2 linked regions of the Astyanax mexicanus genome follow. The protein of the gene in region 1 purifies or fractionates together with the protein of each later gene. This does not show direct contact. Links are inferred from orthologs where the notes say so. Each region holds a gene or a part of one and is shown in the gene's direction. Other genes may lie near its edges. The genes, in order: zinc finger protein 521 and hdac1.

Region 1 (16,089 bases):
TTATTGCATGAAAAATAGAAATATGCCAGAAAATATGTATTTGTTTCCCTACGGGAAAGAACCCAAGGATTTTCTTATTTTTGTTTGCGAAATTTGGCAATACTCCCATCAGCTAATCCTAAAGCAGTTGGCTAATCTACAACGATCGCCTATATTAACTAATTACTTTGCTTTATGTATATTTTAGCATGAAAGGTTGATTTACACGAAACAAAGCATTAAAAAAAGAAAAAAAATGCTTTTGATACGATATACAAAAAACGTACAGTGGGGACAATCATAATTTGATCCCCTGCTGATTGTGGTAGTTTATTTTAACAGAAAGAGACTAAACATCCACAAAGAATATGAAATAAAGGTTATAAATGAATTGGTATTTGATTAAATAAAAATAAGAGTTTGATCCCCTACAAACCAGCAAGAAGTCTGACCCCCACAGACCAGATATGTTTCCATGAGGCACACAAATTAGTCTTGTACCTTTAAGAAAATAATCTTTATCTCACTTTGTTTAGTGTATAAAAGAAACCTGTCATATAATCAGTCTCTTCCATTCAAATCTCTCAACTGCTGGCACAATTAGTCAGAAATAGAAGAAATACAACATAACAGTCAATCACCCTCATTCTGAAGACCCATCAAGCCTTCACCTCGTGGGTTAAGGATGATTCTGAGCAAGGAGGGTTAAGCTCACTAATGATCTCAAGGTAGCTGGGAACACAATTACCAAGTAAACCATTAGCAACAAACTTGTCAACTTGTCAGATGAGACCAACATTGAGCTCAATGGCATCAGCTCAACCTGCTGTGCTTGAAGGCAGAGAAATGCTTCAAGAACCCAAGACCCTATTCCTACTGTTAAAACATAGATGTGGAAATATTATGCATTGGGACTGTTTCTCTTCTGAAAGTACAGAAAGACTTCATCACACTGAGGGGCTCATGAACAAGGCCATCAGGTATCATAAAATCTTGAATGAAAATCTCCTGGCCTCAGCCTTAGCCTCGTACATGGGCCTTCCAGCATGACACTGACCCAAAACATGGCTATATGTTTTGGGTCATTGTCATGCTGGAAGACCAATCTACGAGGCATCTGTGGAAAGAGCTAAAACAACAAGGGTTTCTCCACCAAGTACTAACTCAGATTTTGCTTGTGGATCAAATTCTTATTTTACCTAATCAAATACAAATTAATGTCTAAAGTTTATTTAATGGATTTTTTCTGGATTTTTTTTTGGTTAAAATAAAGCTACCATTAAAATATGTACGGGGATAAACTTCACAATTAAATCACGAGGAGATTAAATAATTATTTTCCCCACTGGATATATTTTGTTATATATTTTTTCTTATATTATATTCTTACTTAGTTGATGAAAACTTAAGCTGGCCATCCTGTCGCAATAACATAGCATATCACAGTAATGAAAAAATATATATTTTTTGAAACACAACAAGGTTCTTACTAACAACTAAACACATCTACAACTCTAGGTCATCCATATTTTATCACATTTTTGAATCAATTTTCACCAATAACAGGCTTCACGTTATATCAACCCTGTCCTAGCTAGATAAATAAGATTTCTGTGTAGTCTGAGAGCTTATACAGTTGCAAAAAAAAAAAAAAAATGCGAACCCTTTGGGATTACTTCTGCATAAATTGGTCATTAAATATTTTATGATCTTCATCTAAGTCACAACAATAGACAAACTACTAATACCAATACCACACAAAAAATGATGTTTGCATGGTTTTATGGAACACAACATGTCATTTACAGTGTCGGGTGGAAAAAGTATGTGAACCTTTGTATTTAATAACTGGTTGACCCTTTTTGGCAGCAAAAATCTCAACCAAATGTTTCAGGAGGAATTTTGGATCATTTCTCTTCATAAATCTGTTTCAGTTCAGTAATATTTTGGAATATCTGGTGTGAATCGCTCTCTTGAGGTCATGATGCCACAGCATCTCAATTGGGTTGAGGTCAGGACTCTCCAGAAGGCCCAGTATTTTCTTCTGTTGAAGCTGTTCGGTTGTTGATTTACCTCTATGTTTTGGGTCGTTGTCCTGTTGCATCATCCATGCTTTGTTGAGATGAAGATCAGAACACTTTTAATGACCAATTTATGCAGAAATTCAAGTAATTCCGAAGGGTTGACATACTTTTTTTTGCAACTGTAAATATGATGAATAATAATTTAAAAAATCCAAAGACAAATAGCACCGTTTTTCGTGTCCAATAGCCCAATAAATAAATGGTGGTATAAGAAGTACATTACAGTGCTTAACAGAGGTGGAAAAAGTACTGAAAAATTGTAATTAAGTAAAAGTACCTTTACTTTGCTAAAATTCTACTCAAGTAAAAGTAAAAGTACCTATCTAAAAATCTACTCGAGTAAAAGTAAAAAAGTACTCAATTTAAAATGTACTTTGAGTAAGAGTTACATAGTTACTTTTAATTATTTGATGTAAAAAAGTAAAAACAAATCATAAATTAAATCCTTTTTAATGAACTATTATTCCACATGATAATGTGAACCTTTCAGGCAGTATTTGTTCAGACCACCCCATAAAACATTTTATTTTTTACTCAGTAACGGGGAGTTTTCCAATGTAGCAAAGTAAATTACTTGTGTCAAAATGTACTTGAGTAAAAGTAAAATGACCTATTTTAAAAACTACTTTAAAAATTACAAATTACTCATAAAATTTACTCAATTACAGTAACTTGAGTAAATGTAATTAATTACTTTCCACCTATGGTGCTTAACAGTGCTTCAGTAGCAAATTTTGCGAACCTGATGTTACAGGCATCTTATAAAGCCTCTTTCTACTCCGATTTCATCTCCAAACATGGCATGGAAAGCTTATTCCCCCTCTGTGGGCAAGAGGACACTCTGTGTCGTGTGAGTTCAACTGCAGTCCTTTTCCAATAACTTTTGGATACGGGTGAGGGGAGAGTGATCTCGCAGTCCTCAGGGGTGAGAACAGAGAGTGTGAGCCCTTCCGCGGGGGGTCCTTCCTGGGTCTCATTTTCACATAGGTGGGGAGTAAAGCCTGGACAGGTGAGATGAGCCGGAGCTCTGCTAAAATAAGTAAAAAATCCAGAGAGCCGAGCAGACGCTCTTAGTGCTAGAAGCCTTGAGTGCTCTTCATTAGATCCTCACACTGCTCTTCACACGGGCCAAAAAAGTCACGTGAACTTCACACATGGAAAGGTGTCTAAAAGTCTCAATTTTTAGAGCACACACACTGCATGTGATAAGGCTGAGTTACATGGATCGGTTCAGTCATTATCACATTATATATAAATATATTGGAGACGTTTTAGTCACAATATAATGAGCACCTTATTACACTCACAGTCCATTTTTTAGCTGCTTACAGACTGTAGTTCTGTATCTGTTTCTCTATATACTTTATTATTAACCTCCTGTTCTACAATCCTCAGCACCCTACAGGAGAGAAAACACCACAGAGCAGCTATTATTATTATTATTATTATTTGGGTGGTGGGACTTTCTTTTGTGATCAATTTTTAATTGTTTTTTAAACATGTTCCTTATATAAATCTTGTCTTAGATAGATAGCTAGATAAATACGATTTCTGTGCAGTCTGAGAGCTTAAAAAAGTATGTGAACCCTTTGGGATTACTTGGATTTCTGCATACATTGGTCATTAAATGTGTTCTGATCTTCATCTAAGTCACAACAATAGACAAACACAGTTTTTAGAGCACACACACTGCATGTGATAAGGCTGAGTTACATGGATCGGTTCGGTCATTATCACATTATATATATATATATATATATATATATTGGAGCAGACAAACCAAGTCTCCCTGAAGCTGCGGGAGTCTCCCGCATTTCGGTAGTGGCTCCCTGATGCCCGCGAGTCACATATAATCTCCCGGAATTCAGAACGAGTGCCCCAAACGTGCACACAGGCCACAGACTTTTTTCTCTAATCGCGTGTGGGAAGGAGAGATAGAAAACAGAGAGGGTTCTGATTGGCCTGTACTCTGCAAAGAGTCTGTGAGACAGCCAATCAGTTTTAAGTGTGGGCGGGCAGTGTTTTTCCCCCCTCCCGGACGGGATTTGTTCAGTGAGTGAGAGAAAGCAGATCATGGCGGAGGCAATATTAATAATTATCGTAATATGATATGAAATGTTTTTGATATTGTGCAATTTTTCGTGATATTGTAACTGTCATTTTTTGTCAAATAAAGGCTTTTTTCCAAAAAAAAAAAAGGAAAGCAGAGGCAGGGCCTTCCAAAAAGAAAAAAGATAAAACTCATTTCACCTCTGAATACTCTAAATTTAATTAAAAAAAAAAAAGTAAAATTAATTAATATAAAAGTAAAGTTTCGTTATCCTTTGGTGTGTGTGCAAGTATTTTTTGTTTTGTTTTTTTTTGGCACCTCCCTGAAATCAACTTTTGCAACTTGGGATGTCTGTTGGAGAAGTTTTTGTCACAATATTATGGCCACTTTACTACACTCACTGTCCATTTTTAGCTTCTTACAGACTGTAGTTCTTTATCTGTTTCTCTATATACTTTATTATTATCCTCCTTTCACCCTGTTCTACAATACTCAGAACACCACAGCAGAGAAAACACCACAGAGCAGCTATTATTATTATTATTTGGGTGGTGGGAATTTTTTTTGTACAAAAAAAAAAAAGAGAAAATACAACATAGGCAGATACAGATATAAAGAATAAAGCTTTTCAGTCACTGTCACACCAAATAAATATAGAGAAACAATTTACACGTTGTCTAATATTGCCTAATGAAATAAAAAAAATCCTTAAGGGTTGATCTAATGGGATCCCACCCCATAAGTGTAGCTGCTTCAGATTTAGTTATCGTTGCAGTAGTCTGTTCAAGAGATACCATGTCATGATAGAATAACAGCCATTGTTTTGAGAGTCTTATTTTGGGATTAAACCAATTAAATGGGAACCTTGCCCATTTTGTAGCTTAAGTATGGAGTGGAATAAGCCCTATGTAGGGTGTTGGAACTTTTTATTATTCTTTTACATTCCAAATTTAATATTATATTAAATTTATATTAAATCTATACAGGAACATGTGCAGAATTATTCTGTAAACAAACAAAAAAGTGTTAAACAAACCAGAATATTTAAAATTTTATATTTTAGATTATTTTAAGTATCAGATTTATCTTTGAGGACAGATCTGCACACTCTTGGTATTTTAATCTCAGTGTCTTCATGAGGGAGAGTCACCTGGAATAGTTTTCTCAGCATCTTGAAGGAAGGAGTTCCTGGAGGTGCTGAACAATAGATACTGCTTTTCCTTCACAGTTCACCAGGTTTAGATCAAGGGATTGGGTCAGGTGGAGGATAAACACTGTTTTAAACTGTCTTTAATAGTAATATACAATATAGAAAAATCAATTAAGGAAGAAATGCATAAAGAAAAACACTAAATGAGAAGATGTGTCCAAACTTTTGACTGGTACTATATATAGTCCCTAAGCCCTGATGCTTGCCCGAAAAAATAATCATAATACAATAATTTGCTATAATAATTTTTAGAATCTGTTAAAATTGCTGAGATATTTGAAATAATAAAAACTCATATTGAGATATATTTCAGAAAAATGGCGACAAATACGACATGTTATAAAGTAGAATGTTTAAAATATCTGTATCTGTTTGTTTGTAATACCATAAATACATAAAAACATGGTATATTTAAATAGTAAACAGTATAGATAAAAAAAATATTGAAATTCACAGCACTGTATTGATTGCCTAACACTGTCTGATTGCCTAAATTATAAATTATTAATTATAAATAGGCATATTTTGGCTAAAAATCTGCAAATTTTACCATCCTCATCGAATTCAGTTAAATGGCTAAACAATTTAAAATAACAAATAAAACTATTCTAGGGCAAAAACAATATAAATATAATATATATATAATATATAAAACACTGTATATTTCCATTTCTATATAGCAAACAGCAAAGTTTTTTGGAAAATAGAGATGCTAGCATTAGTGCTACTGTGAGCTGATTGGTTGGTTGGTGAGAGCGGATGCTGGAGTTACAGCCAGAGCAAGTTTAGAAATTGTATAACATTTAATACCATAATTTGATATATTTTTTAAATCCTTTAAAATGACTAATAATAAAAAGTGTCTAAAAACTGTAAGAATTTTTTATGAGCTTTCACTGCCTCTTGTTAATATTTCTTTATCTTTAGGGGTTTTTTTTATTTCTTTTTTTCCTTTGTCTCCCGAATGTATTATCATGCTGTCTTCTATTGTGGTTTCTTTGTATTAACTAAGAATTTTACAGAATTAAAAAAAAAAATGCTTATAATTGGAGTTTACAAGCTTTCAATGTGTATCTGCAGTACTGAAACATAAAATATTGCTCAGTGTTAAAAAAATAATATTATTTCTAGTTTAAAAATATCAAATATTTTTAAACTATTATTCTTCTTAATTGCTTATTTTTTACTCATTCCAGAGCGCCCTCTGGTGGTCTGACAAACCCAACAGCTGCAGTTCCTTGTCCAGCCACTAGGCGTAAGTGAGTCGGAGCTTGTGCGCAGGTGCAGACACTAATTACCAGTCAGCGGCTTGTTTGGTTTGTTTGTTAGTTGTTGTTTTTTTTTGCCGTTTTTGAGTCAACAGCTTGTGTTTTTTGGAATGTTTAAACTAACGCACCACCTACAGAAAGCAGAGTGAAGACTTTTAACCTCTCTGGAGATTTCTTCTTTCAGCTCATACAGTAAGTAGCTATTATTAAACAAAGCAGCAGAGCTAACAAACACCACAATCCACACACAACAGCAAACAACGCAGACCATATTTAACCACCATAACCAACAATACAGCAGCAGCAACAGCAGCAGTCAGATAGCTTATGCCAGCCAGCATGGTCAGAATATGGAGGTTTTAACACTAGACTAGTAGGACTTTAATTTTGTTTAAATTTGTGTTTCCAGTCTGAGCTCCATAGATCGTGCAGTTTTGCATTTCTGGTCACTGCCTGTGGGTTATTTTACTGTAACAACATTTCCTTCAAAAAAAAAAAAAAAAACTATTTCCTTCACCTCTTTCTGCTTCTTTCTTTTAAATAAACATTTGCACAGTTGTTTTACATATCGTATAAAAATATAGTGCTGATAGGCCAAAATATAAAAGCATTTCTTAAGTAGTTTATTGGTTTAGTGATATGAAAGTGAAGCTAACAATGTTGTCAACGTCTTTAAACAGGAGGCAGGTACTGTCCAAACTCTTTTACCATAATAATGTGACACTCCTGAAACTGTATCCTTAAAACATTGCCTTTCTGAAAATGTTATGACTTTACTCTTAAAATATAATTACTTTAATTATAGAAATGTTCTGACTTTACTTCTAAAATCGTATTACTTTAATTCTCAAAATATTCTGACTTTACTCTTAAAATATTACTTTTATTTTTTTAAATATTATGACTACTCTTAAATTATTACTTTAATGCTTAAAACATTCTGAATTTACTCTTAAAATTAAATATTTTTACTTTAATTCTGAAAATTGTATGATTTTACTCTAATTTATGACCGTATTCTTTAAATATTATTACTTTATTCTTAAAATTGCCTGACTATTCTTATTATTCTGAACACTTTTAAAATAATATTACTTTTATTCTCAAAATATTATTACCTTAATTCTTAAAATATTATTACTTGTATTCTCAAAATAATTCTTAAAATATGATTACTTTTGTTCTCAAAATATTTTTACTTTCATTCTTAAAATATACTGACTTTATTTTTAAAATATTACTTTTATTCTCAAAATATTGACTGTATTCTCAGAATACTATGACTACTCTTAATATATTAATACTTTAAGTCTTAGAATATTGACTGTGTTCCCTAAATTTTATGACTTTTTTCTTTAAATGTTGTCTTTATTCTCAAAATATTATGCCTTCATTTATAAAGTAGAATAACTATTTTCAAAATATTATGACTTCTCTCAAAATATAAAACTTTATTTTTTTAGTGGTCCAAAAACGCTGTTGTAATTCTCTTATTAGACTCAAGGAGTCATAATATAACTCCTTATAAAACAACGATGAAAATAATATTCTTTGTGTAAGGAAAAAAAATGCCAGGGTTTAATGAACTCTGTAAGTGATGAAATTGTAGCTACACCAAAAGCTACTGTTTATTTAACACGGGCAGATTTACTGTTTGGTCCTCGAGCTCTACCTGCCTGAACATTTCAGTCTATGCTGGTCACGTGTCCCTGGAGGCTCTGGTTACCTGGATCAGGTGTGTGAGATTAGGGGTGGGGGGTAAACTCTGCAGGGTGATAGATCTTCTTGACCAGCTCTGAGCACCACTGTACTCCTTTACTTTCTGACTAAACGCTGTAAATCCTTCCTATTTAACAGATCAGAGAAGCGGTGCTGTTTTCTTTCTGCACCCGTTTTCACACAAGCCCCTCCTTCCTGCGCTGGGATTGGTTTATGAACAGCTCGAATTTGTAAATTATCCACCAATCCCGGATCAGGAGGCGGGCTCATACTAAACCAATGCGTGTCCAAGATGAGAGACCCGAGTAGCCAATGGCAGCGCAGGAGAAGGGACGGAATTAGCCAATCTTAGTGCGCTGAAGCTGTTTTAGGAACCAATCACATGAAAAGCGGGCGGGCTTAGTCTGAAAACGGGTGGGAAAGTTGAGAAAGAAGGGAGGAAAAAAAGTAATGAACAGAAAAACGAACTTGGGCGCTGAAAAAAGAGAAAATAAAATACGAAAAAATAAAGCATGTACTTAAAAACACTTTAAAATACTTTAAAAACATGTTTAAATTGCATACTGAGTTTTAAATACGTTTTTCCTGCACCCGTTTTCAGCACCGGTGATAACTTTCTTTTTTGTGGTAGTATTTATTTTTGTTCATTATTGTTTGTTTGTTCTATTAACTTTTCCTTCTTATAAGCATTTTTCCTTTACAAAAATAGGCGCGGGCCTTAGAGTGTAAACCGGTAGGAAATGATAAAAATAACGTATAAAAAAATTAATAAAACAATTATCTATAAAGTAAAAACTTTATAAAAAGTTTATTTTATTCTGTAATAAAAAAAAAACACGTTTGTGTTGACTTTTTCCTTTTTAATTTTCTTTCCTTACTTTCCTTTTTCTTTCTTTTTTTTTTAAACTTGACCTTTTTGGACTTTTTACCTTTTTTTTTTTTTACCAAAAAAGTGTGTGGAGCTACTTAAACACGGGAAAGTTGATTTAAATGTATTTTTTTAAGTTAATTATTATTTTTTTAAAACATTTTTTAAACCCGTGTTTTGCTTATTATTTTTCCTTCCTTCCTTTCCTTTAACTTTCCCTTGTTCAGAGCACCTTCTTTTTTCTTTACTTTTTTTATAAAAAGCGGGCGGAGCTACTTAACGTAAACACGGCTGAAAAAGTTGAAATATGTTTTTTTATATATGATTATTTGTTAAAAAAAAAAGACTTATTAATACTTAATAATAACATTTTATTCTATATTTTATTTTTTTATTTCTTCGTATTTTTTAAACATTTTTTACACCCGTGTTCTGCCTATTTTTTTCCTTTTTTTTTTCTTATTTTCTTACTTTCTTTTCTCTCTCTCTCTTTTAAACCCTTCCCCTCATGCCGAAGCGAAAAGCTAGAGAGAGTCCGGATCCTTGCGCGGATCGGATTCTCCACCGGGTTTTGCCACCGATTCTTTTTTTTTTTTTTTTTTAATCATGCCTCTCCGTGAGTGCTCTAGCGCAGGCAGGCTGACAATGATTTCCTCAGTGATTACGTACAGAGCGAGTCCCTGCGGGCTCCGGGCCCCCTCTGGAGCCATCCGCATGGCTTTGGGGGCCTCGCTTCCATTTTCCATTATTATGTGGACTACCGGAGCGACGGCGCAGTCCAAGACCTCGCAGGTTTGTGATGAGGAAGGAGCTGCTGCTCGCATCCTCCTCTCCTTCTGCCTCCTCTTCTTCTTCTTTTTCTTCATCTTTCTCCTTCTTCTTTCTCCTCCTCCTCCTCCTTCTCTTCCTTCTTCTGCTCCTCTTCTTTTTCTTCTTCTTTATCTTATCTTTCTTTTATTGCTGATTATTATTTTTTTAACAACTGAGAAAGACAAAACAACCTTTAAGACGCCGACTTTCCTCCGGTTCTTTTGAACAGCGCGAGAAGTGACACTTTGCGGTGTTTTCGCAATTTTGCGGCGTTTTTGGTTTTTCACGCTTTTTGTTGATTTTTTTTTTATTTTGCGCGGTTTGTTCTTTTTCTTTTTCTTCGCATCTCTCGTGATGTTGCAACGCGATGCGAAGCGCGTGGGCATTTTTATTTAATTTTGCATCTTGATTTTTTTTTTTGCAATATTACATTAGCGTTATTATTTTTCGCTCGTGCGATTTTCTCCATTGCACGTGCGTGCGCGCGCCCGCCCGCCCGACACGGCGAAAGCAGCAAGCGAGCGAGCAAGCAAGAGAGATTCAGAAAGCGAGCGAGCTAGCGCGAGGGAGAAAGAAGGAGAGAGTTGCGGCGCGGAGATGGTCGCGCGACGGCTTTTTCTAGTGCACGGTGCACCATCGTCCTCCTTACACTTTCTCCCGACACCGATTCCGTGCAGTTTTTAAGTCGGATTTTTTTTTTTACAAAATAGAAATACCTCCCTCCCCTCCTCCTGCTCCTCCAAACCGACCCCCTCTCCTCTCTTTCCCCCTCCTCACTCCCTCTTTCTCTCTTTTTCTTTCTCTTTCCAAGCAAAGCATTACATTTATTTAAAACTCCCTCGCGCCAGGGCTCTTTTTCCTCTCTTTTTCTCTGTATTTCTTTTTTCTTTTTTCTTTTTTTGAGTGTTTTGGTTTTACCCTCTCACGCACTGAACGCCGTCCTCCTTCCCCCCCGTTAGGATGTCGCGCCGCAAGCAGGCAAAACCAAGATCACTGAGAGGTAAGTGCTGTCTGTGTGGCGAGGCGCAGGCGTTCTGATGCATTATAGCGCTTCTGTAACGCTTTAGGTTCGCCCCTGTGAAGGCTGCACGCGGTCTGAGGGGTAGAGCGCGTGTTTGTTGTCGAGGGGGCAACTGAACTTTGGAGATGCTGTATTTTGGGTTGGGGGAACTGTTGAGTTTGAAGACTGTGGAGGGATGTGGCTAGAACACTGTTTGGTTGAGTTTTCTTTTTTTTTGGGGGGGGGGGGGATGGTCAAGTGACGTTGCTTGTTGAGTTTAACACTTGGTGGTGGTAGTTTTGATGAAAGGGGAGGGGGCTTAAAAGAGCAAAAGAGTAGAAGTAACAGTCCAAGCTGTTTCTCTTCCATTCCAGAGTGGTCAGCTTAAACCTCTTTAAACTTTGGAGATTTGGTGGATTTAGGTGTATTGGTGGGGACGGTTGAGTTTGAGCACTGCTTGTGTTGTGAGCTGTTCTGTGGAGGAATGTGGTTGGTCCAAAGATTGGTTGGATTGCGATATAGAAGGCATGTAGGATTCTGAGTTTTTTGCATTTTTAGAGAGTTACCGCTTGATTGTGTGGTTTTGTTTGTGGAAGGGGGAGGGAGGATAATAATAAAAAAAGAGGACTTTTTATTCCATTCATGTACTTTTCTGGAGAGGTTGTCCTAAACCCTTCATTGTGGTTGGGGGTATTAGAAGTGGTTGTTGTCATGTGAGATACAGTTCATAAATTGGCAAAAATGAAAGTACGAGATTTTTTTTTTTTTTTGGAAGGGATGCAGCAAATATTTGGCAATTGAAACTGTTTCACTGTAAATAACCAAAAAACGCTTTCGTTTGTGAACAAACTGAAAAATCTATGCCAAACAACAACGTTTTGGATGACGCAATGAAATTGCAACCAGATTGGGTGTTAAAAATGTTTAAAATAAGTGTTTTTGCTCTTTCTTTCTTTACTTTTATGCATCCAGTACTGTACCAAATGTTTGTTTGTGTTTGCTTTTTTTGCCAAGATTTTTCATTTTACTGCATCCCTAGCTGTTTGTTGTTTGCAGAGTTTAACAATTAGTAGCAGTACTATTTTGAAGAAGGGGTTAAAAACAACAAAAAAAAGAGATGTGGCCGTGGGGTCATATGACTATGCTTGCAGAATTTTACACTTGGTGGTGGTAGTTTTCTTAAAGGACAGGTGGGGTGAAATAAAGAGGAAACGAAAGAAAATGTGTACTTGGAATACTGTCTGAGATGTTCATCCACCTTTCTGGAGAGGTCAGCTCAAAGGTCACGTCTCCTGTGGGTTGGGTTGTAGGGAGGGCTCTTGATGTTCTGGTTGTTCAGGTGGGGGGTGGACCTCCTGGAGCAGGTCTGGGACTGGTGTCTGCTGATGTCTGCTGGTGTTTAGATTGTTTAGGACTGTTGTGGAAGGTTAAAGAGGAGGTGTAGGACCATTGTACACCCGTTGACCTTAAACTGGCTGTATCTGAAGTTCAGTAAAGGCACATATGTGATACTAGCTGAAGACTGTTTTATTTATTTTAGCTGGAGAGTAGTCTGTACTGGCTATAGTTTAACTACACAGGAAAGTAGTGTGAAGAAGAGTATGAAGACTTCACTTTAATCGCACACACACACACTCTCTCACACACACACCAGTGCACGCGCACACACTGGGGAAAGTAAATAGAACGCAGACTTTTCCCCCTGTCGCCTTTGAGGGTAGCCACTGGTATTCATGGCTAAGCTCCAGTTCATCTGGCAGCCTTTGTATTTCGCTCAGCAAATAATTGTCCACAATTTCACATTCTCAGCTTGTGGTCTGGATGCCCCCCCCCTCGTTTGCTCTCCTTTTCTTTTTTTTCCGCTCCCCTTTTCGTTCTCGGAAGTCATCATCTCAAAGGAAGATTACATGGTCCGCGGTGTGTTCCTCCAGTCACCATTTTAAATCAATACCTCAGGGAGCAGAGAGGATGAACACAATCACGTCTCTCTCTTCTTACACACAAAGAAAGCCCGGCGATGACGGACGCTGGAGCTCAGACGTTTGGACGTTTAGAGAGTAGTGACAGCGCTCTGTTGTGAGGAATAGAAAAGTGGAGAAGTTGTATCTGCTTGAAGTGATCGCATCTGCTTTTCAGCTGAACTTTGCAGTTTCGTGTCGTCGGTGATGTTTGTGTTGCGTTGTATTTCGCAATAGTTCTAGGAGAACAGTCATTGGATTTTTGGCAATTATGTCCAAGGAGTTTGTCGGTTGGTTCATAGATATTTGTGCATCCTAGTGAGCAGATTACTACTTTATTAAAGGTAGTGATAAACATTATAGAGTAAAGCTATCGTTGATATCGTCGCTGTTCTATAAAAAACAATTATCTCCAAAACAGCAATTTCACAGTAGAGAGAAAAAAAACTTATAAACTTTCAATGGAAGTAATGTAAACAGAGTTTATTTCAGGTTATTTTTAACTATTTCTAATAGTCTGTTCACCAAGAAATTCTTCCACAGTGTAAGGGACAGTAAAAATCTACAAAAATGGAGATACTTGTTTTTCATTGGACAGCAACGGGATATGGTCAACATTTATATAACGATATATCTTAATTTAGTACCAATATTCACAATATGGAAGCCCCCCCCCCCAAACAAACTGTCAAGAATTCACACAATCTGTACCAAGAAACATCTAAAAAATGAACTTGCCAGTTCTTGTAATTGTAGTTCATGTAGTGACAGATGCTGTAACAATGTAAGTTGAAATATCTACTGTATATAATATACTGGATTCTCTATTGTGATATACAGTATAGTCAGTATAGTCAAATCAAATCATATCAAATTTATTTGTAGAGCGCACCATTTTACAACTGAGGCTTTTTACAAAGCAGCTTTACAAAAATGTGATCACAGGACAGAGAATCAGACAAAATGTTGATGAGAATCTTTATTATCAGTTTGTCATCAGGTTTGGCTGATATGAAGAGCTCTGTGTCATCCACATAACAAGGAAAATTAACGTCATGTTTTTTTTAATGACTTTGCACAGTGACAGCATGTATAATGAAATAATAGTGATCCTAAGATAGAGCCTTGTGGAATTCCATAGCTTACCTTAGTATAATTGGAAGATATATTGGAAGGTTAAGTAAGATTTGAACCATGATAAGGCAGTTCCAGTTCCAGTGTACTTTTTGTAGTTCATGAAAGTGTAAAAGGATGTACGGCATTATGTGCAGTATCGAATCGGATTTATAGTGTATCTTGTAGTATTATGAACACCAGTTTTTAACAAACTAGTTTAGAAAATTAAGTCATTTAGTCATTGACATGGTCAGTGTTTAAACATCATGGTCAGTTTTAATTGTACTTTATCATAGAAGACTGCCATGGTTGCAGTAAAGCAGTTATTTTTGGTTGCATGCAACGTGCTGTTTGCAAAGGGATGTGAGATAATATTGTTTTTGGAATTGTGGCAGTATTGGCAATTAATTGTGATTGATTGTGATATTTACAGTTGATGATAAATTATTTATTTATTGAACACATTCTCTGTTCACTAAAATAAAATATTGAATTGTTAATGTGGTAAACTGTGTTGTAATAACTCTTAATACATTTTCACTGAGGATTGTGTCCGTATATATAAAAAAAGCCCAGTTTTATATTTCATTATTACAAAAATACTTCTAACTTTCTAACTGGATGTAGTGCGTCTGAAAGCTGATATCTGTGTAGCTCTAACAGTGTTTGACTGTGAAGAAAATAGGCTTTAATTCCATACATGCATCAAGTCCTCCTGGGTTTAAGCTGCATCAGTTCAAAACTATAGACTGTTTCAAATGGTTCTGTGCAGACTATGTTTGTAATAGAGATGTGTAAGAATCATGAGTGTGATCATAGAACCTAATAAAATGGTCTTTAGACCTTTTACAGGTTCTTCACACTCGCTTATCCCGCATGGTTCTTCATGTGAACAGAGGTTTATGGTATAGATAGAACATATTGCTGCTTTCTGGTGGTGATAGTTCCTCATTAGATCACCAGCTTCTTAACAGTTATGCAATTCATCTTAGTTAGTTCATATAAATTAGTAAAGTGATATATATTTCCACATTTTAAAATCAATATGAACAGTATACAAGCTAAAGGCCTACAGCAAATGTACCTTCAAATGGCAATTAATGAAATGTAGCTTTTAATGAATGTCAGTCAGTGATAGATGCTGTTAATAATGTACATTTTGTGCCATATCGTGCCATACACAATAATATCGCCAACATTTTTGAATATATCTGAAATATCATGTCATATCACCCACCCCTAATTATCACATCAGGGTACTACTTTTTTTCTGTTTTTATATAAAAAAATTCACACTGTTTTCATTTCCCATTATATATCTACTAGAGACAGTTCATATCTGTCCAGTATCATTTATTTTACTTTAATCCTTTATATATGGGGATAAATTTGGAGTGCATTATTAGTATCATGACATTCTAGATCATTGATCATTGACTGTTACAAATCTGATCTAAAATTATTGTATTATTATCTCAGTTAGCTGTGTACCATATCATTCATATCTTATTTAACAATAATTTAATTTTCATTCTGGTGCAGTTGTGTATTCTTGAAGTATATATATTTTTTAATTCAGTGTTTTGTTATATCGCTAAGAGTATCGTTAGCACAAAAATATCATGAAATATCGTGATATTATTTTAGGGCCATATTGCCCACCCCTAGTTCAGATTACGTCAACTCATTCAGTGACTGGACTGGATGATATGATCAATATTTCTATTACAATATTTCTATTAAAATCAATATGAACAAAGATCAGTACAAACTAAAGGCCTACAACAGATGTTATTGTCAGCCAGGCCGTTATTATAAATAAGAACTTGTTCTTAATGACTAGCCTGGTGAAATAAAGGTAAAGTAAAATAAAATAAAAAGATGTACCTACAAACTTATGAAAAAAATATTTTTGTCAATGTCAGTGACAGATACTGTAAATAATGTATGTTAAAATGTTGTCAAAATGGTATTACTGTTACTAAAATGTTTTCTATTGCAGTAGATTATATTATATTGTTGCCGAA
Region 2 (16,040 bases), on another chromosome or scaffold:
CCTAATGGAAACTGCTTTAAGTGCTATGTGTTTATAATAAATTTAATAGACATCAATGTTAGACTAATTAATGACATTCAATTAAAATACTGGTGTAACAAGAGTGACAATAAGACACCAAAAGTCTTTTCACCTTAAATGAGATAATTAAACAAGAGTCTTGTTCTTAAAATGATAATAGGACATTAGCACCATAATAATAACTCATTATTAAACTTTTTTTCTCTCTCGATATTTTATTTGTCTCTAGAGACTTTACCTCTTGCCAGACTGTCATCCTAACAAAAGCTAGATTTACATTACAAACCACATTGCTCAAATCAGATTTGGCTACCTTGACAGTTTATATTATATTATATTCACAAAGTCACCTGTATCTTTGTGTAATATGAACGAATCTATCATTAAAACGCCTCGCATGCGCACATTGATATGTGTAAAAACTTTGCCTTTTTCACCAACAACAAAAAATCGTCATATTTGAGAGACGACCTGTAGCTTTATAAAGGAAAATGGATGCGTTAGCAGCTCATATGTGGAGAATCTTTTGCTCAAGTGAAGAGCAAACAGCTCATCTGAAGTACATGCTCAGGTTGAGGGGGAGAAAAAAGGCCAGGCGGCTTGATTTTCCTGTTTTTTGCAAAAGTGACTCAAATCTGATTTGAAAAAAAAATTGGCACGTTCATACAGCCATGAAAAAAATTAGATCTGAGCCACATTGAGCAAAACAAAAAATCAGATTTGAGCTATAACATATCTCATGCTCTATCACTTACCTACTTTATTACTTACTTAATCCTTGCTTACTTACATGGATTAAACAAGATTAGCACCAAGATTCTAATAAAACTGCTAAAAATGTCAAGTATATTTCGTTATGTTGCAATGCATAACTAACTAAACAGTTAAATACCTGTATAAAATAATGTATTCATGCGTTATGCCCAGTGATGACCAGAAAGCACTTAGAAGATGAAAAAATGAATGCATGGATTGATGGAAGCAAAGTAATGTGAATGTAGCCTAAGAAATAAAAAAGTTACAAAAAAAAAAAAAAAAAACATGGTAAATTGCTAATGTATTGGTTATTTTTTATTTTGTGGTACTTTTTTTCTTAAGTGGAGTTCTAAAGGGTCCTCTTTTCTACATTTATTGGAGTAAAAAATATTTAAATTTTAATAAATGTATTTTGACCCAAGTAGCTAACTAGCTAGCTGCATAGTTTGTTTACTCAGCTAGTTAGCTCAGTCCTCCACTTATTAGGTCTTATTTAAAGTGTTATTCTGTGGTCCTTATGTATATTGGGAGTCCATTAAGGTCTTATTGTACTTTATTTAAGCTCTAGAGTCTCATATCTCCTCCAAACGTCCAATAATATCAACAGAGCTCAACAGGTCCTACTACAGTCTCCACTGGGTCTCCAGCAGCTCTGATGCCATTTGCTTTCCCACATAATGAGCGGAGAGGAGGAGGGCCGCGGCGGGGGGCTATGGGAGGGCGTGAGGCGCCCCCTGATAGGCCGGTGCGGCGGAGCCACGCCCGTGGGCGGAGCCCGGGGTTTTCTTGAAGCGCCGTTCAACTGGTGTTGTTAGTAGTGGAGCAGCACTCGGAGAGAAAGGGTGGAGGAGGACCAGGAGGTCTACAGAGTTTTATAAACAGAAAAACAGAGAGAAATCCTCGCTCCTTTGGATGCGCAGCGAGCCCGAGGCTTTGGATTTACTTCTCGACTCACTGATTCGGTTTTTCTTTCTGTGAAAAGCTCGAAACTCTCCGAGAGATCGCGACGATGGGATCCCAGGCATCTAAGGGAGGAGTGGCCGTGGAGGGCAAAGCCGCCGAGGCGTCCGCCGCCAAAACGAACGGACAGGTAGGAACCAGTGGATGCGTTCATATGGTTTAACCCTCTTCCACGATGGTTTTCTGTGAGAAAAACAGCAGCAGCTCTCTCCGGCTGGTTGAGGAGCGTTTCGGTGCTCAGCAGGCTCCCCCTCCCTCCTCTCCACACGCGGGAGAGTCAAAAACCTCCATCCGACCGTCCCACCCACCCGTTGCATCGCGCTCGGGCATTTAATCTTCTGTATATAAAGAGTAGCGGGGCTTTTAATCGCAGGCACGGCGTGTTTGACTGATCCACAGTTGGCCTAAGATGTGTTTTATCATCGATAATTATCGTTAGGGAAGGTTCACCGCCGCGTAGGAGGGGATGCTCACCCTCAGTGTAATTTAAGCATCATCTAGATAAACTCCTTTACCAACTAATCCTTAATGTTTAACACCGGTTTTGTTGTATTTTCCTGCTCCGAGTTTACAGCTTTTTTTCATTCATGCGTCGAATAATCGAAGCCCAAATTTCTCCAGACACACCAGTCTAGACACTGCGCTCAGTAGCGGCTAAATCCACGTGTAATTGGTCAGATAGGCGCTAGTTATGAATCAAACTATTCATGTTTTTACAATAAAAACCAGTTCCACGCGATTTTCCGCTCGTGCTCGAGGGGTGTGTTCGTGTTTTCGTGTTTTTTACGCTAAACCGATCGTCGACGACGCACCGCGCATCGATCCGCTTCAGTCTTTTGTCTGAAAGCCGCCGTCTCGACCAGTCTCCACCGATTTGTGAGCTCTCGTCGCCCCCTGTCGGCGGGTTGCGGTACTGCAAGGCGTCACCTCCACCTCCATCACTTGCATTGTGTACGTGATTGGCCACAAGCGTAGTTAATCGTCGACGATTGAAGGGCTACACGTAGGATTTTGCCAAAAAAATAGTAATAACTATGTAATACTAATAGGAAAGCTCATGTAAATCCATCAAAAGAAGCAAAAATGCATTTTTAAATGTAAATGGTCTAAACTATCATTATCTCCCCCCTTTTAGGAGAACGGCCATGTCAAAACCAACGGTGACGTGTCCGCTAAAGCAGAGGGAGATTCAGCCGCCACCACCAACGGCTCGGCCGAGGCAGCCAAGGAGGCTGAGGCCGGCGCGGGAGATGCCATCGAGCCAGCACCAGCTGCCGAGGGGGACGCCGCCAAGCCTGAGGGCGAGGCCACCAAGGAGACCCCCAAAAAGAAGAAGAAGAAGTTCTCCCTGAAGAATTCCTTCAAATTCAAGGGCCTCTCGCTGAGCAAGAAGAGCAAGAAGAACGCCGAGGTGAAGGAGGAAGCTAAGGCAGAGGAGGCCACAGAGGAGAAGCCCGAGGAGAACGGGGCCGCTGCAGCGCCTGCAGAGGAGGAGAAGAAGGAGGAGGCCAAGGCGGAGGAGACCCCCGCCCCAGCCGAGACCCCCAAAGCAGAGGAAACCCCGGCCAAGGCCGAAGAGGCCGCCGCAGCCGCCCCCAAGGAAGAGGCTGCCCCTGCTGCCGCCGCACCTGCTGCTGAGCCCACAAAACCCACAGAGGAGACCAACTCCACACCCGCACCATCCGAACAGAATGAGTGATTGTACTTCACAAGGACTTTGTGAACTGTTTTTCAAGAAAAAAAATATATATATTTATATATATGTGTATATGTATACATATGTATATATACATGGATATATGTATATGTATATATACACATGTATGTGAAAAAAGAAAAAAAGAGAGACTCCTCGTGCCACTTTCTTCAAGATTAATATGAAATGACAGACTAGATTCACTAGTTCACTTCCCTAATAATGGCTCAAAGATCCGGGACTCTGAATTTAGGTTGAAATCACTTCGGGACCGGGATTTCAATGCAAGAGTGAGAGAAGTGTGAGTTTGAGAGCGGGATAAAGAAGGAAAGAAGAAGAGGCATCTTTCAAAACCCATCACCACAAAGATGCTATAATATAAAAAAAGAGAAGTGCAAGATAAACATCACCACATAATAATGACTGTTAAAAAAACGGAAAAGAAAAAAAAGACTTGCCAACTTTCTACATTCCTATATTTTAACCCAAATTTAAGTATTTTGTGGTGTATAGAGAACCATTTTAAATATCCAGAAGGCTTTGTCTTGTTTGTTTGAAATCGCATTTTAATTTTCATCTTGGCTAAAAAAAACACATTTGAGCTTGCTATGTTCACATTTGAGGTTTTAAAAGAAGCAGAGTTGTTATGTGTTAAATGTGAGCCTTGATCTGCTTTTTTGTCTCTGTAAATACATTTGACTGATTTTGTTCTTTATTTTGCTAATGTTAAAAGATGTTACTGGTTTTATTGTAAAGTTGATAATGGTAAATAAATGTTGGTTACCTAATGGAAGCTGAGAAGTGTCCTTCTTTACACTGATGGGGTAGAAAACATGCACTAGGTTTTCAAGCATATTGACATAATGTTTATTTATTAAACTATATCAATAAGTAGAGACAAAACACCAACCACATTAGCTTTAAATGTGCTATAAGGTTTAAAAACAATTTCCTTCCAGTTGCGGTTGACAATATTTTAGAATGGTTTTACAGGGTTGGTGGCCTGTTGATAACAGGCCCAGGATTGTTTTGAATGTTACTGTGAGGTGTCAAATATGTATCAAAATTACCACCTAGAATTCTACACCTTACATACAGAAACATTGCATAATAGCAGTGAAGTAAACTGCCTGATGAAGGCCAAAGAAATTATATAAGACCATAATGGCCTATAGACCCTTGTAAGTGGATCTAATGGCATTTACATGCCAGACTCAAATGTAGTGTTAAGAAGCAGCCTGATGTAAGCTATAATCACGTGTGCTGTTTTCATTTACAGTTTATTAGTGTCACAAATTCCTAAACAAGGAGCAGAGGGTGAGAATGTAGAATTTACTTATCGTAAATGTAAATATGGTTCTATGTAAAACTACATCAGTAAAAATAGTTTTGTATCTGTACTGAAACAAATGAAATGCGTCACTCGACAGCAAGTCGCAGATTGGTGTAACGTAATTTCTATTTTGATCATGTTTTTTTCAGTAATAGCTGTTTGTTGTAAATCACTAGAAATGTTATGGAGGGTTATTTATTGGTAACTCAGAGACTTGGTGTAGGATTAATTGACTATACCGTAATGCTTATCAGTTGTAGACCTGTATGCCTATTCTAAAATGCAGCCATTTAACGCTCCATTTTGATAAGCTTCTCTCCAACGCTCCTTCAATTCCAAAACATATTTTTGTTCTATGGTATTGAGTCAAATGTGGGCATATGTCGCCACCTAGTGTCAGACTGGTGTACTGTATCTATAAAATAATAACGTATAAAATAATGTATTCATAGGCTATTCCACTGAATGGATGCCATTTGCTTGTTCCAAATTAAACTTATTTAATCTTTTTTTTTTTTTTTTACTTCGAATCCAATAACAAATGTATTTAACAATTCAAAACATGTACTGGTCAAACTCATGCAGCTTTACTTAATGTTTCTAAGGTTTCTAAACTTTAGATGGTTACAAAACTCATGTGACATTTAAAAAGCATGTTTAAAAGCAAGTCCACTAATTCCTTTAATTTTCTCTCAAGAAAGTAATGGTTGACTGCATGTTCATATAATTTATATTTATGACAAAAATCACTCCTGTTAATGGCACTCATTCCTGTTACTGGAACTCACTCCTGTTACTGGAACTCATTCCTGTTACTTTTTATGTTTTGAGTAACAGGAATTAAAGTAATCGGAAAGAGATTTGAACATAGAATTAGCAAAAACAAGATAATTTTCTAAATTGTGGCTATGCTAAAAGCATGAGGCCATTGAGCACATTCTAGTGATTGTAAAAAAAAATGTATTTTAAAAATAAACATAAGATCTAAAAATGAATTTAGGTAACATGAAAGAGTGTCGGGATTGACCTCCTCAGTCATCGTTACAATAAGATCAAATATACAGAAAAACTAATGAGGGAACTTAATTTTGGTCTTCCCATGGTCTTCAGAAGAACCAGCTGATGTAACTTCCTGTTGTAGATGTGACTTGTAAAATGTTCCAGATGTTTCAGATGGGGTAATGTGTTACGGTAACAGGAATGAGTGACACAATGTGTATTTTTATTTTATGGATCTAAAATATGAAAACATATTTTTAAAGCATAGATGGGATTTGGAGTCACACAACAATGCAACAAAAAAGGGACATCGCTGAAGGATTTTAATAATTATATTTCATGGTAAAGTTTATAGATAGAGTGTGGGGACACATGACAAATTCTTTTTTTTCAGTGTTCTAAGTAGTTTTTAAAACTGTTTTATTTACATATTTAACTTTTACAATTAGGTCAATGTACAAGACATTAATACTACATGGTATATTCTATATGCTAACTTTGTGCAGGTTTGGCAGGTAAGTATATAAAATATTAATGTATCCACATGTTTTGTACTAACATGATGCAATGAAGCTTTGCTATGTCAGCACATTATAGTAATTTCTATTATTTTAGTATTATAAATAACCTATTTTTTTTGTTTACACAAATTGTTTAAAATGCATTTAAACAAACTAGTTTATATTATGCTCCATTGCTTAGTTTAAATTTTGTTTATATTTTTCTATTGTGCTGAACATCCAACATTTACACATTTTATTTTTATTATAAGAACATCCTAATCTAACTTCACTACTGTGCGGCCTATAATGCCCAGAATGATGACTGTTTTTAATACGCAGAATTCTATTAATTCTTGGTTTAAGCTTGTAGAGAGATGTCAGCAAAGAATGGCTAGAGTAGTCTGAGTTTACACCAGGTTGAACCTTGGTCTAAACAGAACAGAAAGCTGAGGTTGCAGTGGGCACAAACTCACCAAAACTAGACAGTTGCATTTTTAATTTGTACTCAATTCTTTTCCCAAACTAAGCAACTTAGCCCATCTTATTTGTAGGACCTGCCATCACTTACAATTCTCCCCCACAATCAAATGGTGAGTCAGCCACCGCCTCTTTTCTAACATGGAAAGTGCTGTATCCTCAGCCCTAAAGCATCTGGCCAGCATCACAATGGGAGTCATAAGGGGAAAGAGCGCCATCTACCCACCTAGTGAGAGCAATGCCAGTTATGCTGATGGCTAAGCAGCATAACCCAAGATTCAAAATCAGATTCCTCAGGCCTCAGGTCAGTGTCTTGGTCTACTGAGCAATTCTGGGCCTGGTAATACGCATCAATCGTGTAAATGCCACAATCTATTTAAGTAGTATTGCTGACCATGTGCATCCCTTCATGGCCACAATTTACCAATCATCTATAATGGCTACTTGTATGGCTAATTTATGTTTCCGATATTTCAGAAAATACAGTACTAACATACATCATCACAACGTTTTAAGACAAACACATTGACCATTTGTGTTGGACACAGATGGAATATGACCTCTGCCTTTAACAAATCCATGCAGCAAAGACTTGCATACATAATGAGCTCACATACAGAGACATGAGGATATATATTGCATTTACACATATTTGCGTATACACATGTTTATTTCCTTATTTCCGTATTGGAACAGCTAAAAAGAAAAATAAATTAATTAATAAATGTATATAATTTCATGCAAAACAAAATTATTGGCACCCTCAACTTAATATTTGGTCCCACAACCTTCAAAAAAAAACTCTACAGGTGATTAGGATTTAGACACTTTAAAACTCTACAGGTGCTTCGTTTCCATCCATCTCTGGGTGCTTTTTGAAGTATGTTTGGGTGATTGTCCTGCTGGAAGAATGACCTAGGATGCAAACCCAGCTTTCTAACACTGGGCCCTTCACTGTAACCCAAAACCATTTAATAATCTTCAGATTTAATGAGGCCTTGCACACAGTCAAGACAAAACATCTTTAAACCTCCACCATATTTGACTGTAGGTACTGTGTTATTTTCTATGTAGGCCTTATTCCATTTGGTAAACAATAGGATGATGTCCCAAACAGCAGTAATACTTTTATTATACAATTCCATATTTTAATCATATTTTTAAGGGATGATTTCCTTCCAATAAAGTTGGCTAATTGTTGCATCAGCAGATACTGAGTAAGGTTACATTTGGTTTCAAACAATATAAACACTGGTTGTGAACCTTTAGTGAATAAATAAAGCCCAAATCCTCTGTTTGTTTATAATGGTTTGTTACATAGACAGTACCAGTCAAAATGTTTAGAACACACATACATGTAGCAAATTATTTTTCCCTTAATTTTTTGGGATATCTAATCTCTGCAGGTCCAGTCAAGAACCAGAAATGGTAGAAAATCCAGTGTACAAAAATGTGCACTAAACTGTGTTTAAGTACAACAAATGAACTAAAAACAAAACCAAAAAAGTGATTTTAGTATTGTGATAAAAAACCTAAATAAAATCATTATATTCTTTAAAAAAGAGGGTGTGATGTTTAGCAAACAATTTATTGGATAACAGCAAGTAGCAGTAAGTAGCAATGGAACAAAAAGAGCTTTGGAAATGGATTAAAAAAATGTCAATTTACAAAGCCTTTGTCTGTATTAAAGCAGTATTGGAACAGATCGCATATTTTAACTGCAGCATTTACACACTTACACAGAGCACATTTAGACTTTCATCATAATAAGTAAAAAAGACTTAAAAATGCAGACAAGTTACAACTCTATAACTATTAAAAGCATAAGTCTTTTCTTTAGAGAATTTACAGATAAAGCCAGAGCTTCCTACACATTCAAAGGACTCACATGGCAGCGCCTTTAGCTAAGCTTAACGTTGGACTAGGTCTCAGTTTCAGCAGTGAGGAGAGGATTTAGAGATCTGACAGGTGAAGTACAGTAATAAAGTCATTGCTCAGATGGGAAAATAAAAAAGCAGATTGTCTGGGCCGTACAGCATGGCTACTGGACAACTAAAAAAATAAAGCTGTTCTAAACAATTTGACCGGTAATGTATATAAATATATGGACAACATTTCTCCCAAATTCCAAATTAAAATATTGTCATTTAGAGCATTTATTTGCAGAAAATAAGAAATGGCTGAAATGTTCTCCTACACCAGTCTTACACACTGCTTTTGGATAACTTTATGCCACTTCTGGTGCAAAAAGTCAAGCAGTTCAGCTTGGTTTGATGACTTGTGATCATCCATCTTCATCTTGATTATATTCCAGAGGTTTTCAATTTGGTAAAATAAAAGAAACTCGTCATATTAAGGTGGTCTCTTATTTTTTCCCCAAAGCTGTATATACAATGTATACGCATATCTTTATACCACGGGTTTGAACTCAACAAATTGAGCGAACAGTGCGGTTTGAGCGGATTGGTCCTGACACGGACAGAAACGCCCCCAGAAGGATATTCTTGAGTGTGATTGGATGATGAGGCCTGATGTCCCGCCCCCGATGTGCTGCGCTGCTGAAAGCCGGCGGGCCGCACGCTGACCGGAGGGAAAATGGCGCTGAGTTCGCAAGGAACAAAGAAGAAAGTTTGCTATTACTATGATGGTAAGAAGCTGCGCTCGGAGCGAGCAGGTTTACTCATTTTCAGTCGCTTTAGCCGAGTAATGCACCAGTCGGCCGGGACAGCGGTCTGTAATTGCGTTAAGTTTAGCCGGTTAGCCGCTTGAGTTCGGTACCCGGAGTAGTGTGTTAGCATTAGCCGGTTAGCAGCGAGTGCTCCCTCTTTATCCCCAGCTTCAGCTAACGAGAGAAACCCTGCGGGGTCCGGGCTGATATTCCCGCCTGTAAACTCTTTTTACGGGCAGCGCAGGGATGAGAAACGGGCTCCGCTGTGGCTATGGCTAATTAATCATTTAACTAATGTGTAGGATGCTCGTTCGTGGTCAGTTAGCTAGATAACCTAACACGCAGAGGACTGAACTTAGCTTAGCTTAGCTTATCTATCTGTTAGCAGGGCTAGCTAGCTTAGCCATTTATCTTTGGAAGTAAAATCATTTCACTGTAATAAAGGAAACCACTGAGCTCATTCTGTTCATTATGATAAACTTCAACAGCTACTTTGAGTAATAGTGAGGCTGGTCTGTTTGGTTTTGATGTAGCAGTTTTATTGTTTGAGTGCAGTTATTTAGCGTTAGCTAACTAATCTAGCTAGCTAGTTAGCCAATTCAGCCAATACAGAAAGTAAAAATTCTCCCCAGAATTGTATTACTATTACGTGCAGAGTTATGCTAAAGCCCAGCAATGCAGGCAGTATAAACAAAACTCTAAAGATTTATAGGTTATATTCGGGATCTGTAGTGCTGTGACCCTTTCTCTGTAACCCGGTAGTCTGCTTAGTTTTCTCAGCGCCTGCTTTGTTGTGTCTGCAAGTTCCCTCGTAGCTAATAAAAATAACAATAATAATAATAATAATAATAATAATAATAATATTTGGACATAACCTTTTATACATTAATGCAGTTCGAAGTTTCACCACGAAAAAGTAAATTTTTTAAATGTAAAGATTAATATAAAATTTCATGGGGAGGGAGAAAACAATTACAGGCATTATTAAAAAATAATATACTTGTATAAATGGCAAATAAATTGAAGCAGAAGTGCAGTAAACATTTAGAAGGGAAGTAATATGATTAGAAGATTTGCAGTTAAGAGAGATGGACTAAATGAATGCTAATCTGAACTAGGGCTGCAACTAATGATTTTGGTAGTTTATTTTATTATTATTATTTTTTTTTAATTAGTCAATTATTCAACGATTCTTTCTGCCATGTCCTCTATCTATAAAAAACGATTGAAACAATTAAACATTACACTTAAAAAGCTGTTAAATGTCTGGATGTTTGAACGTGGAAAGTAATGATATGTAGTGAGTAAATATACAATCTGTTGTGTTTGGACACTCCCCAGCACTTTGTGTAATGTGGTACTGTTACAAATTAATGATTAGTGGACAGTGAAATTTGTAGTTGACAAATTTTAATAATCAACGTTGTTGATTTTATATATCGACTAATCATTGCAGCCCTAATCTGGTTTAACACTCTTTTTAAAAGTTTCCATAGAGGGAAATGGTTCTGAGCTCCTCAGGAAGAGCCTTCCAGAGCTTTAGGCCATAGTGCTTGAAAGAAGTTTTGAAAGCAGCTTTTGTACTACCAACAGATTACTGTAGAAAGCCATTTCTGAAACCTATCTAACAATCATTTCACTAAGATAAAGAAGATCAAGTCCATGAAAACCATTACTAGATCATTTTAAAGAAAGTCTAATGTAGTATGTTAATAACGTTTTAACTTCAATAATGACCTGCCTCTGTAATTCATGTATTGTGTGAACTTCATTTTTATGTTTTTCAAATGTTTTACCCACTGTTCTACACTCTCTTTAGGGGATGTTGGCAATTACTACTATGGCCAGGGTCATCCCATGAAGCCCCACAGAATCCGCATGACCCACAACCTCCTCTTGAACTATGGACTGTACAGGAAGATGGAGATCTATGTAAGAGGAAGTTCAGAACTTCAGAATTTTACATCCTTATGTTAAGTGTCTCGGACGTTATGGTAATGAGGTATTTTTTTGTGTCTGTTTACAGAGACCACACAAAGCCAATGGTGAAGAGATGACCAAGTATCACAGTGATGATTACATCAAGTTCTTGCGTTCCATTCGCCCAGATAACATGTCAGAATACAGCAAGCAGATGCAGAGATGTGAGTATTCAATATGTTGATATGAGTTGATATGAACCCAGACTTTTAATTAAGGTGCTTTTCACCCAAAATATAAGTGGTTAGAATGCAATCTTGTGAAACAGACCATGTAACAGGAACTGTGATTTTTGAGCTCTTTTCGGATAGTAGCCATGTTTTCTTTAAGCTGACAGGTTTAAAATAATTGAAAACCAAATCAGTTGCATATTTGTGCATATATTTAAAGTTGTCATAAATGCTGTTGCCATTATGGAAATTATTTTATTGCAGTGATGAAACACAGTTGATATGATATTGTAAAAATGTGTACCTGTGGTTTAAGAGTTCATATAACTAAATCTAATTATTTCAAACTTTTTAGATTAATAACAAACACAGCAATTAAGCTCTTAAGTTATAAAACTATTTTTTTTGTTTGTTTTTTTGCTATAAAAAATTGATTTGTTTAATGTGTTTCCTTCCCAGTTAATGTGGGTGAAGACTGCCCTGTGTTTGATGGCTTATTTGAGTTCTGTCAGCTTTCAACAGGTGGCTCTGTTGGTAAGTGCGTTTAACCTGGCTAGCTGGATGGGTTCTTTAAGTAGGCAAGCCTGTTGCAGGTGACCAATGACCTATATTTAATAGTGCTGTTTCCTTTTTCTTTCAGCTGGAGCTGTGAAACTAAACAAGCAGCAAACAGACATAGCCATTAACTGGGCGGGTGGTCTTCACCATGCCAAGAAGTCTGAGGCCTCTGGTTTCTGCTACGTCAATGACATTGTCCTTGCCATCTTGGAACTGCTCAAGTATGTTTTTCTTAACAATTACTATTTTGGTTTTTATGCAGTATTTCACTTAAATTTAATTGCATGTTTTTCTTTTTATCCATTTATTTTTTATTGAATTATTGTCATGCTTTTAGAATAATTTCCTATAAGATCAGCTAACCTCATATCAGTAAAAAAAGAGCAGCTTTTGTTAAAAAAAAAGTTACAGGCAAAAATGTAATACTAAGACTAATGTATGCAATTTACAACACTACACGCCACAGCAGTGTAAATTTATCAATCTGTCTGCCGAGGCACGTAGGTCTCATCAGACAGACTGGCTGTGTGTTCATTTTTAAATGATGGCGCCCTTGTGTGATTGAGGTGTGAACAATCTTAAGGAAGTTAATTTTATACACCGGTCTTGTCTAGGTCAGTTGACATATTTGTATTCTGGTAAAAGTTAAAGGAACATTTTAATTAAGCTTTTTTAATTTAGTAAATTTCTCTAATACAGATATTTGATAATTCCTTACTTGAATAGTTGTTTTATACGAGGCTTTGTTTTAATACTGTTTGGTAGATACCATCAAAGAGTGCTGTATATTGACATTGACATCCATCATGGTGATGGAGTAGAGGAGGCCTTCTACACCACAGACCGTGTCATGACTGTTTCTTTCCATAAATATGGAGAGTACTTCCCTGGCACAGGTGACCTCAGAGTGAGTTCCCAGTTCCTTTGCCTCTTTTATTTATTTTTTTAATTTTAATATTTTTGCTTAAATAGACTGTTTGCAATTACACTACTTAACAGTACTTTTTGCTTACAAATAGATGTGGGTTCTAACTTTAGTGTGGCTAATGATTATTCCCCAGGACATTGGTGCAGGAAAGGGAAAATACTACGCTGTGAACTACCCGCTCAGGGATGGGATTGATGATGAATCTTATGAAGCCATTTTCAAACCTGTAAGTCATAATCAGTGTAGCATTACAGAGATGTCCTGAAAATTGACCAGTCTGAATTAATAAAATGTCTTCCTCAGATCATGGCCAAAGTGATGGAGATGTATCAACCCAGTGCTGTAGTACTTCAGTGCGGTGCTGATTCTCTATCTGGAGACAGATTGGGCTGCTTCAACCTCACTATTAAAGGTCACTTTCAGCACTGAGCATTACTCATAGCCAAGCAGTTGTCTGCTCTCATTCTGACTGATAACACTGGGTTTCTGTGCTCTGCAGGCCATGCTAAGTGTGTTGAATACATGAAGAGCTTTAACTTGCCTTTGTTGATGCTGGGAGGAGGAGGATACACCATTAGGAACGTGGCTCGCTGTTGGACCTATGAGACAGCTGTAGCCCTGGACAGCACTATTCCCAACGGTGAATACTGTGCTGTTTTAATTAAATTATTAATATTTGTTCTGAATGTTCTCTATAAACAGACCATGGGATCTTGGTTGGGGCACTTCCATTGCAAGAGTTGTTTGACAATAAGATGATTTCAAGACTGATTCTTAGTGGAAATTTACTTGTGTAATGTGACTGAAATTAGCCTAACTTGACACAATTAATCAGTTGCCATGCAATACCAAGACTGTATTTTGGCTATGGCCTTACTGATGTTTCTTAGCAGCATAGAATAGAAATTGATTTGGGTATAATTTTCATTAATTAATTTTTCTCCTTTTTCAATTTGGCAAATTACCAGTTTGTTGATTGCAGAAATATTGCAAAAACCTTAGCTGTAAATGGATATGTTATGGCTGATTAATCAAATTAAACAAAACCCTAGTAATATCTAATTTATCAAAATGACAATGTTCCTACAATATGTAATTTGAGCTGGAAGCTCTTTAAACGACTTGAGTAAACTAAAACTTGTGCACCTTTCATGTAAGAAATTGCATTACTTCATTTTATAATGTGAAGCTAGACAGGTTTAACTCTATGCTAACTCCTTAATGTCAACAGCTAGCTGTTCTATTTCTCTATTGGTATTTCTAACTTACAATTTGTTTTCCCACCGTTTTTTCTAATATATAGAGCTTCCATACAATGACTACTTCGAATATTTTGGACCGGACTTCAAGCTCCACATCAGCCCTTCCAACATGACCAACCAGAACACAAATGACTACCTGGAGAAGATTAAGTAAGTGTTCTACAGAAAGCAGTCACCTTCTGCTGAAAAATGACCACAAACTAAGACACACTAGAATGTGTGAAATGTGTGAAATGTGTTAAATTGTTACCCTGAGACTAGTGTTTGCATTTGTTCTAATGCAGCAGCTTTGTTTGCAGTTACTTATCTTAAGCTATGTTCACATTACAAGCCATATTGCTCAAATCAAATTTTACTCTGATCAAATTTGGCCTGTCTCTGTATGTATTGTGAATGAATCTGTCTCTGAAACATCTCACGCATGCACATTGATAACGTGCATAAACGTCACCTTCACCATCAACAAACGTCATATTTGAGAGACGAGCTTTATAAATGGAAATGGATATCAGCTTATGTGGAGCATCTTTTGCTGGAGTGGAGAAACAGCAAACAGCTGGTCTGAAGTACATGATCAGGTTGAGGAGGTGAAAAAAAGGCCAGGCGGTTTGCTTTTGCTGTTTTTGCAGCTATAGCTGCACAGCTGCACCAAGAGATGTGTGGACATGAAAGAGAAACTTTAATGTAAAGACTTATTAATTCCGATTTGACAGTCCACATTTGTCACATGTCCATGGATTGGATATGTATCTGATTTAGCACCACATATCGAAGTGGCTGAGATCTTATTAAAAAAATGATTTGGTATGTTGACAGCCATGAAAAAAAATCAGATCTGAGCCATATTGAGCCAAAAAAAAAAAAAATCAGATTTGAGTTAGTTTAGCCTGGTAATGTTAACGTAGCCTTATTACTGTTTCCTAAATGACACTCTTCAGTGCCTTTCTCTGCACACAATGTTTTGTTGCAGTATGTAGTCTACACAAGTGTATTTTTGCTGATTTTGTTTCTTCTCCTTTGCTTTGTCTGTTAATAGACAGCGTCTGTTTGAGAACCTGCGCATGTTGCCTCATGCTCCAGGAGTGCAAATGCAGGTTATCCCCGAGGATGCTGTGCAGGAGGACAGTGGAGATGAGGAGGATGATCCAGACAAACGAATCCCCAGTGAGTGCTGATTACTTGTCTTTGCTGTGTTACTTCAGTTTATCCTTATTTCTACATTTTTCTAGTTTTTATGGAGCAGAATTTGTATTCTGGTTTGTCTCCAAAAACAAAAGCTTAGAGAGAACCTGATTCACTTTTATTAGTCACATTTTGCTGAGAGTAAGCAGCTTTTTTTAATTATCTTTTTATTTCCTTCACTAGTTCGTGCCCATGACAAGCGGATAGCCTGCGATGAGGAGTTCTCCGATTCTGAGGATGAAGGACAAGGTGGCCGCAGAAACACCATAAACTTCAAGAAAGCAAAACGAGTGAAGACTGAAGAAGACAAGGATGGGGAAGAGAAGAAAGGTGAGCAGACAGGTACAGCCAACAGAATTTCACCTTGATCATCTCATCTTTTGATTTCATGGCTTTATCAAGTATTGGGAAAAATATCAGCCAATAAGTTGCCTGTCCTTGTTACTATGCAGTCAAAACTTGAAAGTATATAAAGTTAATGAACAGAAATTTGATTCATGTTAAGTTTGTGTAGAGTAGAATTAAAGTGTCAGACGTTCAGTGCGGC

What was found.
Region 2: the proteins of zinc finger protein 521 (region 1) and hdac1 purify together in Homo sapiens (affinity purification with mass spectrometry; 3 studies listed by BioGRID and IntAct, counting the BioPlex papers as one, with this or other methods). This does not show direct contact. The link is inferred for Astyanax mexicanus from reciprocal best matches to the Homo sapiens genes ZNF521 and HDAC1.

The regions. Positions count from the first base shown.
Region 1 is NC_064415.1:10,736,028-10,752,116, forward strand, and holds the start of zinc finger protein 521, read left to right. Parts: upstream 1-9,832; 5' UTR 9,833-9,970; intron 9,971-9,996; exon of another isoform or gene 9,997-10,947; 5' UTR 10,948-10,948; coding exon 10,949-10,988; intron 10,989-16,089. UniProt on the Homo sapiens protein: Transcription factor that can both act as an activator or a repressor depending on the context. Involved in BMP signaling and in the regulation of the immature compartment of the hematopoietic system.
Region 2 is NC_064410.1:39,607,119-39,623,158, forward strand, and holds the start of hdac1 (histone deacetylase 1), read left to right. Parts: upstream 1-9,273; 5' UTR 9,274-9,340; coding exon 9,341-9,392; intron 9,393-11,232; coding exon 11,233-11,345; intron 11,346-11,439; coding exon 11,440-11,557; intron 11,558-12,022; coding exon 12,023-12,097; intron 12,098-12,203; coding exon 12,204-12,342; intron 12,343-12,886; coding exon 12,887-13,028; intron 13,029-13,182; coding exon 13,183-13,275; intron 13,276-13,352; coding exon 13,353-13,461; intron 13,462-13,548; coding exon 13,549-13,689; intron 13,690-14,352; coding exon 14,353-14,461; intron 14,462-15,347; coding exon 15,348-15,475; intron 15,476-15,676; coding exon 15,677-15,835; intron 15,836-16,040. Other genes in the region: marcksl1b (MARCKS-related protein 1-B), read left to right, coding at 1,787-1,867, 2,873-3,436. UniProt on the Homo sapiens protein: Histone deacetylase that catalyzes the deacetylation of lysine residues on the N-terminal part of the core histones (H2A, H2B, H3 and H4).